Saccharomyces cerevisiae S288C: one gene and its partners. The protein of the gene in region 3 interacts with the protein of the main gene of each other region in a pairwise test. Each region holds a gene or a part of one and is shown on either strand. Other genes may lie near its edges.

Region 1 (3,463 bases), on a different chromosome or scaffold from region 3:
AGTAATCTGCACACTTCATTTGGTAATTCGCCTGCTAGGTCATCCATGAGGTAGTCATCACTCGACAGCAGTGCGGTCAATTCATTTTCTATAAAATTGGATATGCTATTATATGTGTCTGTCATCTTATTCCTACAATCTATTGTTGCTTTAGTTTCTGTGCACATTTACCAAAAATATTTCTTCGCATGTAGATTTACCTCTTTTCCCCTGTGACGCGTCATCGTTTTTATATCACCTTTGAACAAAGCAATATATCTGTACTCAAAAGGTACAAACGAAAGTTTTGTTCACGAGAAAGAGATATTTTACATGCGAATTAAATCTTGATTGCCTGAATTCTTCACTATTTTATGATTTTTCCCTTCCTTCTTGAAATTTGATTTATATTTAGTCCAAATATTACAGAAAAAAAAAAAAAAGATGCCTAAGCCTTGGGTCTTATTTCGAACAAATCCATCCATCGGTAACAATTCAAAAAAAGAATATTTCGTCTCGAACAATTTGCTAAGTATTGTGGGTAAATGATATATAAATTTTTATAAAAACTCTTGGCCAAGAAAAAAAAAAAAGACTATGTCTAAACGTAACGTTATCATTATTATTAAATCATTTTAATGTTTTATAAGTTTTGTTTTTCATTTCATACCCTTTAAGGAGCATTTGGCATTGTGTGCGCCCTGAAGGCTAAATAAGAATTTGAAGGACTCACCACAGAACAGTATAGCGAATACCAACCGCAGCAACTACTTAAAATTCCAAAATAGCCACCGGCCATTTTGAGATTGTTGTTGTCAATGAAGGTGCCGATACACAGTAGTAGGAAGGTAAGATCCAAAAACGTCAATAGTAAGAACAAACCCCACGTGCTCTTCAATGTACACATCAACATCAAGAAGGTGAAAACGGTCCAGCCCGCAAGGAAGAACCCAATGACATTGTTCAACATTGTGGGATCGGTATAGCCGCTGACCAAATTATCAGTATCTGTTAGCCCATAACCGTAGCAGATCCAGAACCCGCCGAAAGAACTGAACACAGTCATGGCGTATGTGTCCCCAATGACAAAACACAATAACCCGGCAAACAATTCAATGGCACCACCAAAAAACATAAACAAACTTAGCGCCCATTTACCATCAGTGACGCCGCGAACGTTCGCATTAATTAGCGACAGAACTAGACATGACAGAGAAAACGATGCGAGACCCAAAGGAACCGGATTAGCGAACTGGTGCGGAGTATACTTTGCACAGTTTCCTTCCTCCCCATCCCCTCTGTCTAGTGCATTGAGCAAATCTCTGCGCCTGTAGGTGGAGGATCCTAGAGTAATGAAGTCTCTGTCGGAGTATATCTCTTGAATATTAGGGAAGCCCTGCGAAACGCCTGCAATCGAACCCTGCTGGGGGAGCGTCTCAATATTTTCTAGAGTGTTCACACCCTTTTCCAAATCCTGTGGAGAAGAAGCAGACGATGTCATTTTAACCAGTATTTTTATTTTTTATTCTTACTAAATCTTTCTGGGAATGTATTCAGTTATATGTGACCCAACTGTTTATAAAACTGGGGGAATATTAGGCAATCAAGCGAAGCTCATCGATGAGTATTCAATTTGCTAAAAAGTTGTTTTATTTAAATATTCCTTCTGAGTCACGGTCATCGTGAATAGCGTTAAAATTCTCAAATCCATTGGTGTTTCCATTAGGCCCTGAGCGGTTCCCCAAGAAAAAAAAAAACAGTAGAAAAAAATGATGCTTCTTCCTAACGCTATTGTAGTGCAGGTTCTGCCGTGTGCCAAGTTGGAGCAGCGCCTGCTGAGACTCTTCCGTATGGTTCTTGCTCTTCTCAGGACCAGCGGCGGCAGTTCCGGTTTTTTTCGGCGTCTTTTGTCTGGCACACAATGGGCGATGGAGAGGGAAAACCGGAGGATATGCCAGCTGCGGTGAGATTATGGTTGGAGTTATGTTTGTAGCCGGCGGTGCGGCAATAGGAGAGGGGAGGGGAAGGGGAGGGGAAAAGGTAATGGCTGACGAAGTATAGAGATGGCAATCACAAGCCAAATATTGGAGATTACATGCAAGAATGCTACTGTTATACAAAAGGGTGAAAATTGAGACCCAAATTCCTTCCTTTTTTTTCTTTTTTTTTTACCAGAAGAATTACGTACAAAAGTACCTACTATTTCAAAGCAAGAAATGAGATGCCTATTGTGGTTATATACAGAATAGATGATAAATGGGTTTTCCGTGCAAAACGATATGGAGAATTCAAAATGGGTGCGAAATACCTGGAACGTAAGCGTTCTGAGAAATACACAGACGCATTAACCTGACAAAAACACAACTAGTTTGGGAAAGGGATTTGGTCTTTCCTCTCGGGTCTCTCGTGTGGTTCCTTTCTTTCTCAGATCTCCCTGCACACTGGGCTGTTGTCCTCCAGGTTATGGTTTGTTCTCTTCAGGTATTACAATGCAGTAGGCTTTTGGAGTGAGCAAAACGAAGAGAGAAAAAAATTTTTTCTTAAAAGTTTTTTTTCATTTTGTGAGCTTATTCTTCTTTTCTATATATTCTTGATATCTTAGATTATACATATTATTCTCTTACATTTCACGATTGCCCTTTTGGTGTTTAGCATTCAGACTCAAAGACCACAAACACAAACTATAACATAATTGCAAGATGGTTGCTTTCACTGTTGACCAAATGCGTTCTTTAATGGACAAAGTTACCAATGTGCGTAACATGTCCGTTATTGCTCACGTCGATCATGGTAAGTCCACTTTGACCGATTCCTTGGTCCAAAGAGCCGGTATTATTTCCGCTGCTAAGGCTGGTGAAGCTCGTTTCACCGATACCAGAAAGGATGAACAAGAAAGAGGTATCACTATCAAGTCTACCGCTATTTCTCTATACTCTGAAATGTCTGACGAAGATGTCAAGGAAATCAAGCAAAAGACCGACGGTAACTCCTTCTTGATCAACTTGATCGACTCTCCAGGTCACGTTGACTTCTCCTCTGAAGTTACTGCCGCTTTACGTGTCACTGACGGTGCTTTGGTTGTCGTCGACACCATTGAAGGTGTCTGTGTCCAAACCGAAACTGTTTTGAGACAAGCTTTGGGTGAGAGAATCAAGCCTGTTGTTGTTATCAACAAGGTCGACAGAGCTTTGTTGGAATTGCAAGTTTCTAAGGAAGATTTATACCAAACCTTTGCCAGAACTGTTGAATCCGTTAACGTCATCGTTTCCACCTACGCCGATGAAGTTTTGGGTGATGTCCAAGTTTACCCAGCCAGAGGTACCGTTGCCTTCGGTTCCGGTTTGCACGGTTGGGCTTTCACTATCCGTCAATTCGCCACCAGATATGCTAAGAAATTCGGTGTCGACAAGGCCAAGATGATGGACAGATTATGGGGTGACTCTTTCTTCAACCCAAAGACCAAGAAGTGGACCAACAAGGACAC
Region 2 (4,889 bases), on a different chromosome or scaffold from region 3:
TGATGGTAAGCTCATCATGCTTTCAAAAAAATTACCAGAGAGCTTCAAATGGGACTCGGCAATCATGCGCAATACCATTACAAGTAAAGTGTTTACCTGGAGCCCACCAATACAATATCTTTACTTTGCAAGTTATTGTATTCTTGACGTTTCTTTATTCCACACCTTTACCCAGTATTTCATACTGAAAAAGTTGCATTGGAAGCACTATTCCGTTTCTTCAAAGGATGTCATATCATATACGATCTTATTATCGTACGGTGCCAAAATTTTTCCGATATTGATGTTGATATGGCCTTATGATACTCTAATTTCGATGAGTATCATTAAGTGGGTAGCTAATCTCTATATTATTGAATCGTTGAAGATTGTAACTAATCTTTCCTATTGGAATATCATAAAGATTTTTATAAGTGTGTCTTTATTACGATATTTCATGGTTAAGCCAATACTTATAGTTTTCGTGGCAAAGTTTAACTTTTCAGTTATTAAGAATTTAATACATCAGGAGTTTATACTACTACTACAGAAGTCAGGAACTTATTTATTGTTATAAGCAAATAAAAAAATATCCAGTATTACTTGTATCAAAAATCTTATTTTGGCATTTTCACAACAAAATATATAAATATAGAAATAGCACCTTGGGATTTCAATCCAACATCGGACCCTCTAATTCACTCACAGCGTAAGGGTATGCATACGACTCTTCCTCATTGGCAGAATTCACCGTAGAATTGTCTCTTTCGTACTCGCGAATTGAACTCAATGCGATATATTTTGACAACGGCAAATAGTTCTTCTCGAAATCATATAGGAAACATAATGTCACTACTGGAAGCGGGAAAAGGCAAGATGACAAAACCCATCCTCCTTCGAATCCTGCCAGTGTTCCTGTCATTGTTAATTGAAACAATAGCAATCCAACGATGATTCTTCTAAAAATTAATGGCCATACTTTTCCTGTAGAATGGGGCAAATGATCTGTGGCAAAAATCAATTGATATTTATAGACGTAAAACCCAATAATAAAGTACGCCAGCCCTGAAGTCAAAATTTTCGTGCTCATTACACTGTAGATCAACGTTATAATCAAAATCAGAATTGGCTGTGGTAATTGTAGTCCAAAGTTAAATATCGGTGGATTGTAAAGTTCATTCCGTTGCCTAGGTGTCTTAGCCTTGATTTTCACTAGAGGAAAGCCGATCAAACTACCAACTAATAACAACTTAAACGGGAACATACCAATACCTTGCAATATAATCAAATCGACATAGAATAAGGAGAACTCCTTCACAGATGTAGCAAGTTGATAAGCAATTTTGGTGGTATCGCTGAGGTACGCCCAGTAATTAGATGCTGTACCTGCCAATGTGAAAACTAAGAAAAGGTTGACAAAAATATAAAAGAAATTTTTTGAAACAAGTGAGATTTCCTCTTCGCTGTATGATACCAATCCTTGATAAGAAGTCAAATACTCGTAAAAATAGGGGATTCCAAAGTTAAGCAATGTGAAGAGATAGGTTGGTAATAGCCCCGTTACAATGTTAGCGGCCCACTGGTGATCTTTTAGTAGCTGCCCTACGCTTGGCCAGAATTTCGAAAGTGTTTTCAAATTTAGCAATGTGGCTAAGTATGATACAGGAATGACTAAAAACAAACTTGAAAGGCCTATAAATACGGTAGTAGAATAAACTTTTGTTAACCGGTCCTTTCTAGAAAGACAAACATGATCCCACTTGATATCGTGAGGTGCAGGAGCCAATCTGGTTATGAAGTAATGTACTCTAGGATCTAATACCGCCTGAGCTGCCATTTGCGCATTAGCAACAGAATCCATCGTAACGAATGCCGTAGGTGTTGCGGAGTAGTGTTGTTTCCTCGCTTCAATAATTTCAGCATCAATAAATTTTAATTGCTGCTCCAGGTACTCTATGGCATCTACTTCCTTCCCAAAGATACCACGATATCCAATTTTCATTTTTGGTCTCTCTCCAAGAGAAATTTGAGAATATAGTATAGTATCCTCGTCATTATTATTGCTTGATGGAACATTTTCTCCATGTGTAACTGCGCCTGATTGCTCGTTTCCCAATAAATGATAGTTCTCCGAATATGGTTGTCGAGTACGGAGCTCCCTTGGACATTCTGAATATTTTAATTCCAGGTTTTTGAGTATTTTCTTCCGACAATGAAATAGCTTGTTCAAAGGACCCCACTCTCGACAAATAGTGATTGATGAAACGGTGCCGATTTTTAATTGTTCAATTCTGGTCTTTAAGGCTTCCGAATCACGAAGCTCTATCGGGATGCCTGAGAGCCTTATCGTTCTATCAGTAATCGTATTTTGCTTCCCAAGATAAGCTTGCCTAGTACTTACGACGTGCTTTGTTTCCGCAACTGCCATTTTAATTGCTATGAAGGTGAAGAAATATGTGAAGAGAACATACATCCAGAGGTACACATTTGTACGTTCGGGAGCTGAATGATTGTCACCATCGCCACTTCCCTCCACAATTCTTTTTACCAGATGTATTAAAGAACTTTCACTGTCATCATCATCGTTGCCGTCATCAATTTTTCCAGTAAAATGATATCTTACTGGAGATATAACGCACACAGAGAAGAAACAAAAAATAGAAAGTAATTTGATGCACATTTTGAAAAAACTCAAAAACACATACGCATCTAAACCTGCATATTCCAGAATCTGTTCGTCCCGTATCTTATACAACACTGTTAACCAGCCGAATAAACTTGACTGATTCCAGGACGGTAAGCGAAGGTTCCCGTCATCTTTATATCGTCTGCTTGCGTATAATCTAGGCCACTTTTTTAGTAGAATTGAGAACGAAAGCAAAGCAAAAATACCTAGTGAAGTAGCAATAGTCAGTTGCGTCGTTACAACCTTGGCGGTGGGTTTTCTGAAATCATGATGCTCATCTGGAACTGTATCAAGATACGATGCTGCCGACTTGAGCCTTTCGATATATGATGTCATTCAGTACTGTTCTATTGTACCCAAAAAAGGCATTCAATGCTAATCTTGTTTGTTTAGCCTTCGTGCCCGCCATTATGTTAAAGTGTTGAGTTTTTCTGATTCACAATTGTTATATATGCCACATTAGGGGGAGGCGTGTCTTTGCAAGATCATGAAAAATTAACTGTGATTTTTATTTTTAAATAAAAAAAGTGCAAATTAACACAAAATCATGCTACTTTTTACTAAGAAGATATATTGAAGGTACCATTTATATGTTAAGTATAATTAGAGTGACGAAATTTAAATTTTGAAGCACCAATTATCAACCAATCAGGTCCGCCAGTATTGTGCCAGATTATGTAAATGATCAATCACGATAGGCAGCAAAGCATTTACACTATCATTGATTAGATTCTGAAAATGCACTGTGGCATCTTCTTCGGACATATTCAAATTAAATCTCTCTCTTACACGTAATATAGCACCATTGGGATCTATTCTGATATCAGGTATGTTCGAAGTCTTCATTAATTCAAACAGGTTTAAGATTAAGCCTGCATTCCTTCTTAAAATCGAATATGCCACAAAACAGTAGCTGCGAAATTTATCATAATTTGATGATTCTGCACCCCCAAACGCCTCTATAATTTGAGGGGGCAATTTCATTAATGGCGGAAAAGGTTTGGGGTCCTGACCCAAGATATAACCAAAGTCTGCGTGAAAAAAGTGCCCATCTGGCGTGACTAGTAAGTTGTCTAAATGCCTATCGCCGACACCTAAGATGTATGTAATAACACAATAGCCAGCACAAGATTTGACAAAATTATCTAAAACCCAGCCTTGTACGCCTAATGTCGCGTTCTCATCAGGATAGTGGAGTTTAAGGTAGCCAAGAATACCGTGATATTTGCTTAGTATGCTAGCTAATGTGTCATTAGGGATAAATTCAATGGCACCTTCTTGTGGTCCTGTTGCCAAAATTTTGTATGGTGTCAATTTCAAGTCCACGTTTTCATTTTTTAATAACTCATTCATTAAACTTATGATCTGTACTACCAGTTGATCTTGTCTCAAATCATCGCCAACCTTAAACATTAAGTGATATGGTTGGTTTAAGGTCGTTTTGAATGTTATTTTTAGTGGCGATAAAGAGCTTTTAAATACCTTCGAAGTTTCAGGACAAACGTCGCATATCAACACATCAGGGTCTAGTGGTAAAGCAATTGGTCGTACTTTGACAAGAGGCCTGACTTTCGTCTCCAATAAATGCACTAGTAATTCCATCTTTTTGGCTGTAGTATCTTTCAGCCTCTTAATTGTTTCACAACATTCCCTGAGCACATTTATTAGCCTGACTTGATCGTTCAGTATATTCCGAGATTTTTTATCCAGTCTACTCCAAAAGGAACTTAAAATCTGGTCTAAATATGGCTTGTCCTCAGACTCGGACTTTAAATACCAATAGAAAAAACTTCCTAACCTTGGGTTGACCAGTGCTCTCCTAATCAAAAACTCAGCCAAGGGAGAAATGACGATTGGTAGCGATTCTGTCCCGGAAGTTTCCGATTCACTCGAGATGGACTTTAATAATTTTTGGTTGGCATGCGATGTAGATAGTAACATAGAATCACCCGAAAGCTTTTGCGAAGATACGGCATCCACAATAGTGAATTCACTGTTAGATTTGTCGGAAAAAGTGGACAGGTTCTCAAAACAGACAGCTTCTACCAACTGTAATAAGTACAATTCCAGCTCCTTGTCTGATGCCTTCTTCAGCCTATTTACGGCGTACGATCTCACTGAAAGGTTTTTAAAAGTTGAGCCTAATAGTTCTAATGCGTCGTCTATATCAATTTCTGCCCATGAGTCCATTAGTTCTAAAACCTCTACTCTTTCCGATTCTTCT
Region 3 (4,315 bases):
TTAGCTACACATCATATAGTTATTAATTCAATATATTACTTTTGGTACTGCATTCTAAAACACTAAAGTATAACCTCCGAACATTATATAGGTGTTTATTGAGTTATTTTTTGAAGAAATAGTCCACTAGAAATTGCTTGGGATGCGGGATTCCTTTTTCTCTTGGTCCTTACATTATACACCAATTTTATCTTTATAAGAAAATACAGGTAGTTAAATTAAGTACATGAACGCTGAAGATCGATTGGTTCATATTCTATCGGCAATTGGTGTGTTATACAATTCAGAGTTACTAAATATGAAGCTTCTGTCATCTTACGTATGATTTTTCTGCTTTTTAATACGATTATTTTTCTGAAAAAGTGTTATTTGAAACAACTTAAGCCTCAGTAGTTAGAATCAATCAACAAGAGTCCCCTAAAAAAGGCGCAAACCATCTACGTTAATGAAATTACAACAGTTAGAGGATATTATACATTGAGTGTTTACTTAAATATGAAAAATTGTTCACCAGGCTTGGTATTCCTCCAAGTATTCAATCATTCTTGATGGGTTTCTGATAACAGCTTTGGCAGTTTGATTTCTAGCGGTGTCGACGAAAATAGGTGGTCCGCAACATACGACGGCAAGTGAACCAGAATGGTTAACAGATTCATTTAGTATTTCTTCAACATTTGGCCTTCCAACATGGAAAGTGGCAAATTCTAAATCGGAGATAGACGTGTCATTCAGGGAAAGAGGTAGTTCTGTATTTTCACTTTCAGAAGGAGCTTTTTCTGAATTGCTTAGACTAGATGGGGCCTTCTCTGCTGTCGTTTCACCGTTTTTGACTTCATTTGAGGAAATTTTTTCAGCCGAAGCTAGCTCTTGCTTAGAATTATAAATGTGAACTTGAACATTCAAGCCCTTTAATGCCATTAGTTCTTTCTTACACGCGTTGAGCATGTCTAGTCCTCTTACTGCTATGACTAACTGTACAAAGTTTTTACCGCTTGCAGCTGTTGTCTTTCCTAATTCAAGGGCATGAGAAATTGGACCGGGAAGCCCTGAGCCACCTGCCAACAATAATACATTATCAAAGCGATGGGCGGTGGACTTGGAGCCATAAGGGCCTTCGATAGCTAATCTCATGGATGCCTTGCCGCCTTTACGTTCAACAAAGTTTCTTACCAGTTTTGTCACACCTTTCTTTGCTTTCAGAACGATGACCAATTCTCTATCGTTTACGCAAGAATCCATCACTGTAAATGGATGCGACTGCCAGAAGCACAATGGACGCAAGAAGGAAACGAAAACGTATTGGCCTGGTTTTGCCTTCCAAAACTTCTTTGGTTTTTTAACCGTTACACGGACCAAATCAGATCCAACCAGTTGTAGATCTGCTTTAGGAAATCCTAAGAGTGCAATTCTGGTGATACGTACAATTCTATCAACTCCCCAAATTGCTATTGCCGCGTAAATCCATTCGATACCGCTGAAGTTAGTAACATGCTCCCAACAAGTATAGAGAAATAGTGCTGCGAATACTATATGGAGGGCCATAAACGTTTCATAGTAGTGTCTTCTAAATGCTGCGATGGAAAAGAAAATTAACATTCCCGCTAAACAGGTGGTAGCAATACCGAATTTCCAGTAGACTCTTAATCTAACCGTATTCCATTTTTTATAATACAAATAATAGTTCGTAAAGCCGGCAGCATGAATTATTGCATCAAGAAACATCATTCTTCCCAGCCACTTATGGAACACAATGAATGAGGTATGCTTCAAGCCAGAAATAAGTTGGAGAAAGTTATTTCTTCCCGCAAATAAAACAATGAGTGGCAGGTGTGCAAAAGAAAGTATACCGCTTCTGTACGCAACAAAATGTGCCACTTCTGCTCTATGAGCGGCAAATATGATGTGGTATGGATCATATTGATATTTGTAGGCCATGAAAATGGTATGAAGTATGAGGTAGCCTAAAATAACCAACGTTTCAAACCTAGTAGGAAGATAGCCTGTTATCACTTTTAAGTACGAGAAGGGCTCTGCATGCTTTTCATAAAGAGTGGGTAGAGTAGTATAACCTCTCACGTAATTGACTAGCTTTTGCTGAAACATAATCTTTTTTATTGGGGTATAATTCAAAAAACGAATTAAACCTGCAAGCAACATGACACCCACAAAGTATGCACAGATAATGCCCCCGAAATAATACGGAATGTCATGGTTATAGTAGTAACCATAGTATGCATCATAGTATGCTTTTCTTAGTGTAGTGTTCAGTCTGATAGGATAAGTGATATTGATGCCAGCTTTAGGTTGATCTTGTATATAGTATGTTCCATTATCCAATGAGGTGTAAAACTCGGCATCAGTCATGTTCAAAAACTTTGGTGTATAGCAAAATTGTCTCATTTCTTCAAAACCTTTCTCCAAAGTTTTATTTGAATACCCTTTCTCATGCGTGTCTTCGTAAAGACAGTAAAGCATCGATTGGATTGCTGGTTCATACCGACATATAGCGGACCCATTGAACCCCCATGTTTCTTTACGTAAACCAACGTAGCATGAATATATCGACCTTCTCTCATGAGTATTTATTAGAGACGTTTTACTGGGTGGGGCCTTTGCGGCCGAAAGCTGGAAGAACAGAAGGAAAGATATAATATGTACCAACAACATGGTTTTGCCTACCTAAGCTTATTTAGCCATCTCAGGTTCAAGAAATAGACGCTGGGGAGACACGATTAACTGGAGTCTTTCTCAGCTTCTCTAGTTGTTTTATATGAGAGTCAGCCAAGACTAAGAAAGAGGAGAAAAACTGGCTTTTAACGAATATTTTGTGTAACTGCAAGAACTACTAGGGTTTGATGTACCTTGCTCATTAAACTACGCTAGGAATTCCCTATGTAAACGCTGATGCGTTTGCCTTAACGAAAAAAATTTTCTCTAACGATACAGAAATTGTAACCTCATTTTTACCATAGTCACCGGCAGTGAAGGGATATATCGGGACCTCTACCAGTAGTCTTTGTTCTTTTGAGTATTGTTCCCTCAGGGTCCTATGAAACCAGGTGCAATTATGGTATTCGTTGAGTGTCTATGTTAAATAGGGTGCAAATTTTTAGACGGTCTTGCATAAAAAAACAAAAAACGTTCTTCTATCGGAAAAAGCCGTTCCTGCTTACAAAGCCAAGATCTTGTTTTGTACGCAGTTGCTCTGGGATTCAGATTACGTGTTTCTAAGAAGCAGGTCCCCCTCTTCTAAAATTATTCCATGGCATACCTTTATTATTCTTCTCTTCTCAGCCACGTTACTCTTAGTAGAAGTTTCTTGCTAGCGCCCGCTTTATCCCGAAAACGTCATTTCACACATTCTTGAGGGAAGGAAAAAGGAAAAAGGCTACTCAGGCATCTATGGCCGTCGCCAAAGTAACCTTACTTCCTAAGCTATTGAAGGGCTCGCTTGTAAGGAAAATTTCCCTGTGCTAATAGCGGAACTGGGTACTGAGCACTTTTTATGCACGTGCATCGTACAATTACTCGCTTGGAGCCAATGCACTAAACATTCTTATAATTCTAGGCGAAAATGTGTTGTAGTAGTTTTACGTGCGGGAAACTTACTTCATGCGATATACTTATTTGTTTAAAACAGATATGGTATTTTGTTAGTTTTTGATTCAGGCGCTACTGATGATTTGTGCAAGGGTCCAGAGAAAAATGCATGTGTCAGTGTTCTAAGCCAAGTATATATGATTACCGGTAAAATTCTACGCCAATATTCGTCTTTTACTGAAGAAAAGTATTGTTGGCATTCCTACTTTATTTTAAAGTTTTCTTGAGGCAAAATGAAGAAAGAGCTAAGGCTCTTTTTATGAGCGAATTTCACATAATGTTAACTAAATATAAATGCGGGAATAACATTGTGCCAAGAGGAACTTAAATAAGGATATCTCAAAAACAGCCTAGTTCCGTAGGAAAGATGCCGTTTGAAAACGATGTCAAGAAGGGTTTAACATGCTTTATAGAAAAATCTAAAAGTTTAAAAACTTATAGGAAATTCACCGTACTCATACTGAAACATACTCTATACAACCTTGTTCCATAATTCTACAACTTTCTCGTAATATTTCTTTTGAGAATCTGTAAACTCTATCAATTTTCCGTACTGTCCCTTCCTATAATGTGTGCAATAGCTGTACATAACGCATTCGCTCTGTTGCGACCAGGGGGACTTGCTGACATCGGGTATTATGACAGCTTCGAGTTTCACAGGTGATTGATAGTAATTCCGTAATTCATCAACGCTTTTGTATTTGGCCGCAATCTC

What was found.
Region 1: the proteins of FRE4 (region 3) and ATO3 interact in a protein complementation assay, tested with the Saccharomyces cerevisiae proteins (one large-scale study listed by BioGRID).
Region 2: the proteins of FRE4 (region 3) and CSC1 interact in a protein complementation assay, tested with the Saccharomyces cerevisiae proteins (one large-scale study listed by BioGRID).

Annotation. Positions count from the first base shown.
Region 1 is NC_001136.10:1,240,552-1,244,014, forward strand, and holds ATO3 (putative ammonium permease ATO3), read right to left. Parts: upstream 1,481-3,463; coding exon 653-1,480; downstream 1-652. Other genes in the region: NKP1 (Nkp1p), read right to left, coding at 1-125; EFT2 (elongation factor 2), read left to right, coding at 2,679-3,463. UniProt on the Saccharomyces cerevisiae protein: Transporter protein required for ammonia export. Induced in rho(0) cells, probably to eliminate the excess ammonia that arises because of a potential defect in ammonia assimilation in those cells.
Region 2 is NC_001144.5:618,585-623,473, reverse strand, and holds CSC1 (Csc1p), read right to left. Parts: upstream 3,002-4,889; coding exon 653-3,001; downstream 1-652. Other genes in the region: sterol homeostasis protein ARV1, read left to right, coding at 1-556; phosphatidylinositol 3-kinase VPS34, read right to left, coding at 3,314-4,889.
Region 3 is NC_001146.8:738,303-742,617, reverse strand, and holds FRE4 (ferric-chelate reductase), read right to left. Parts: upstream 2,668-4,315; coding exon 508-2,667; downstream 1-507. Other genes in the region: MNT4 (putative alpha-1,3-mannosyltransferase), read right to left, coding at 4,073-4,315. UniProt on the Saccharomyces cerevisiae protein: Siderophore-iron reductase responsible for reducing extracellular iron prior to import. Catalyzes the reductive uptake of Fe(3+) bound to dihydroxamate rhodotorulic acid.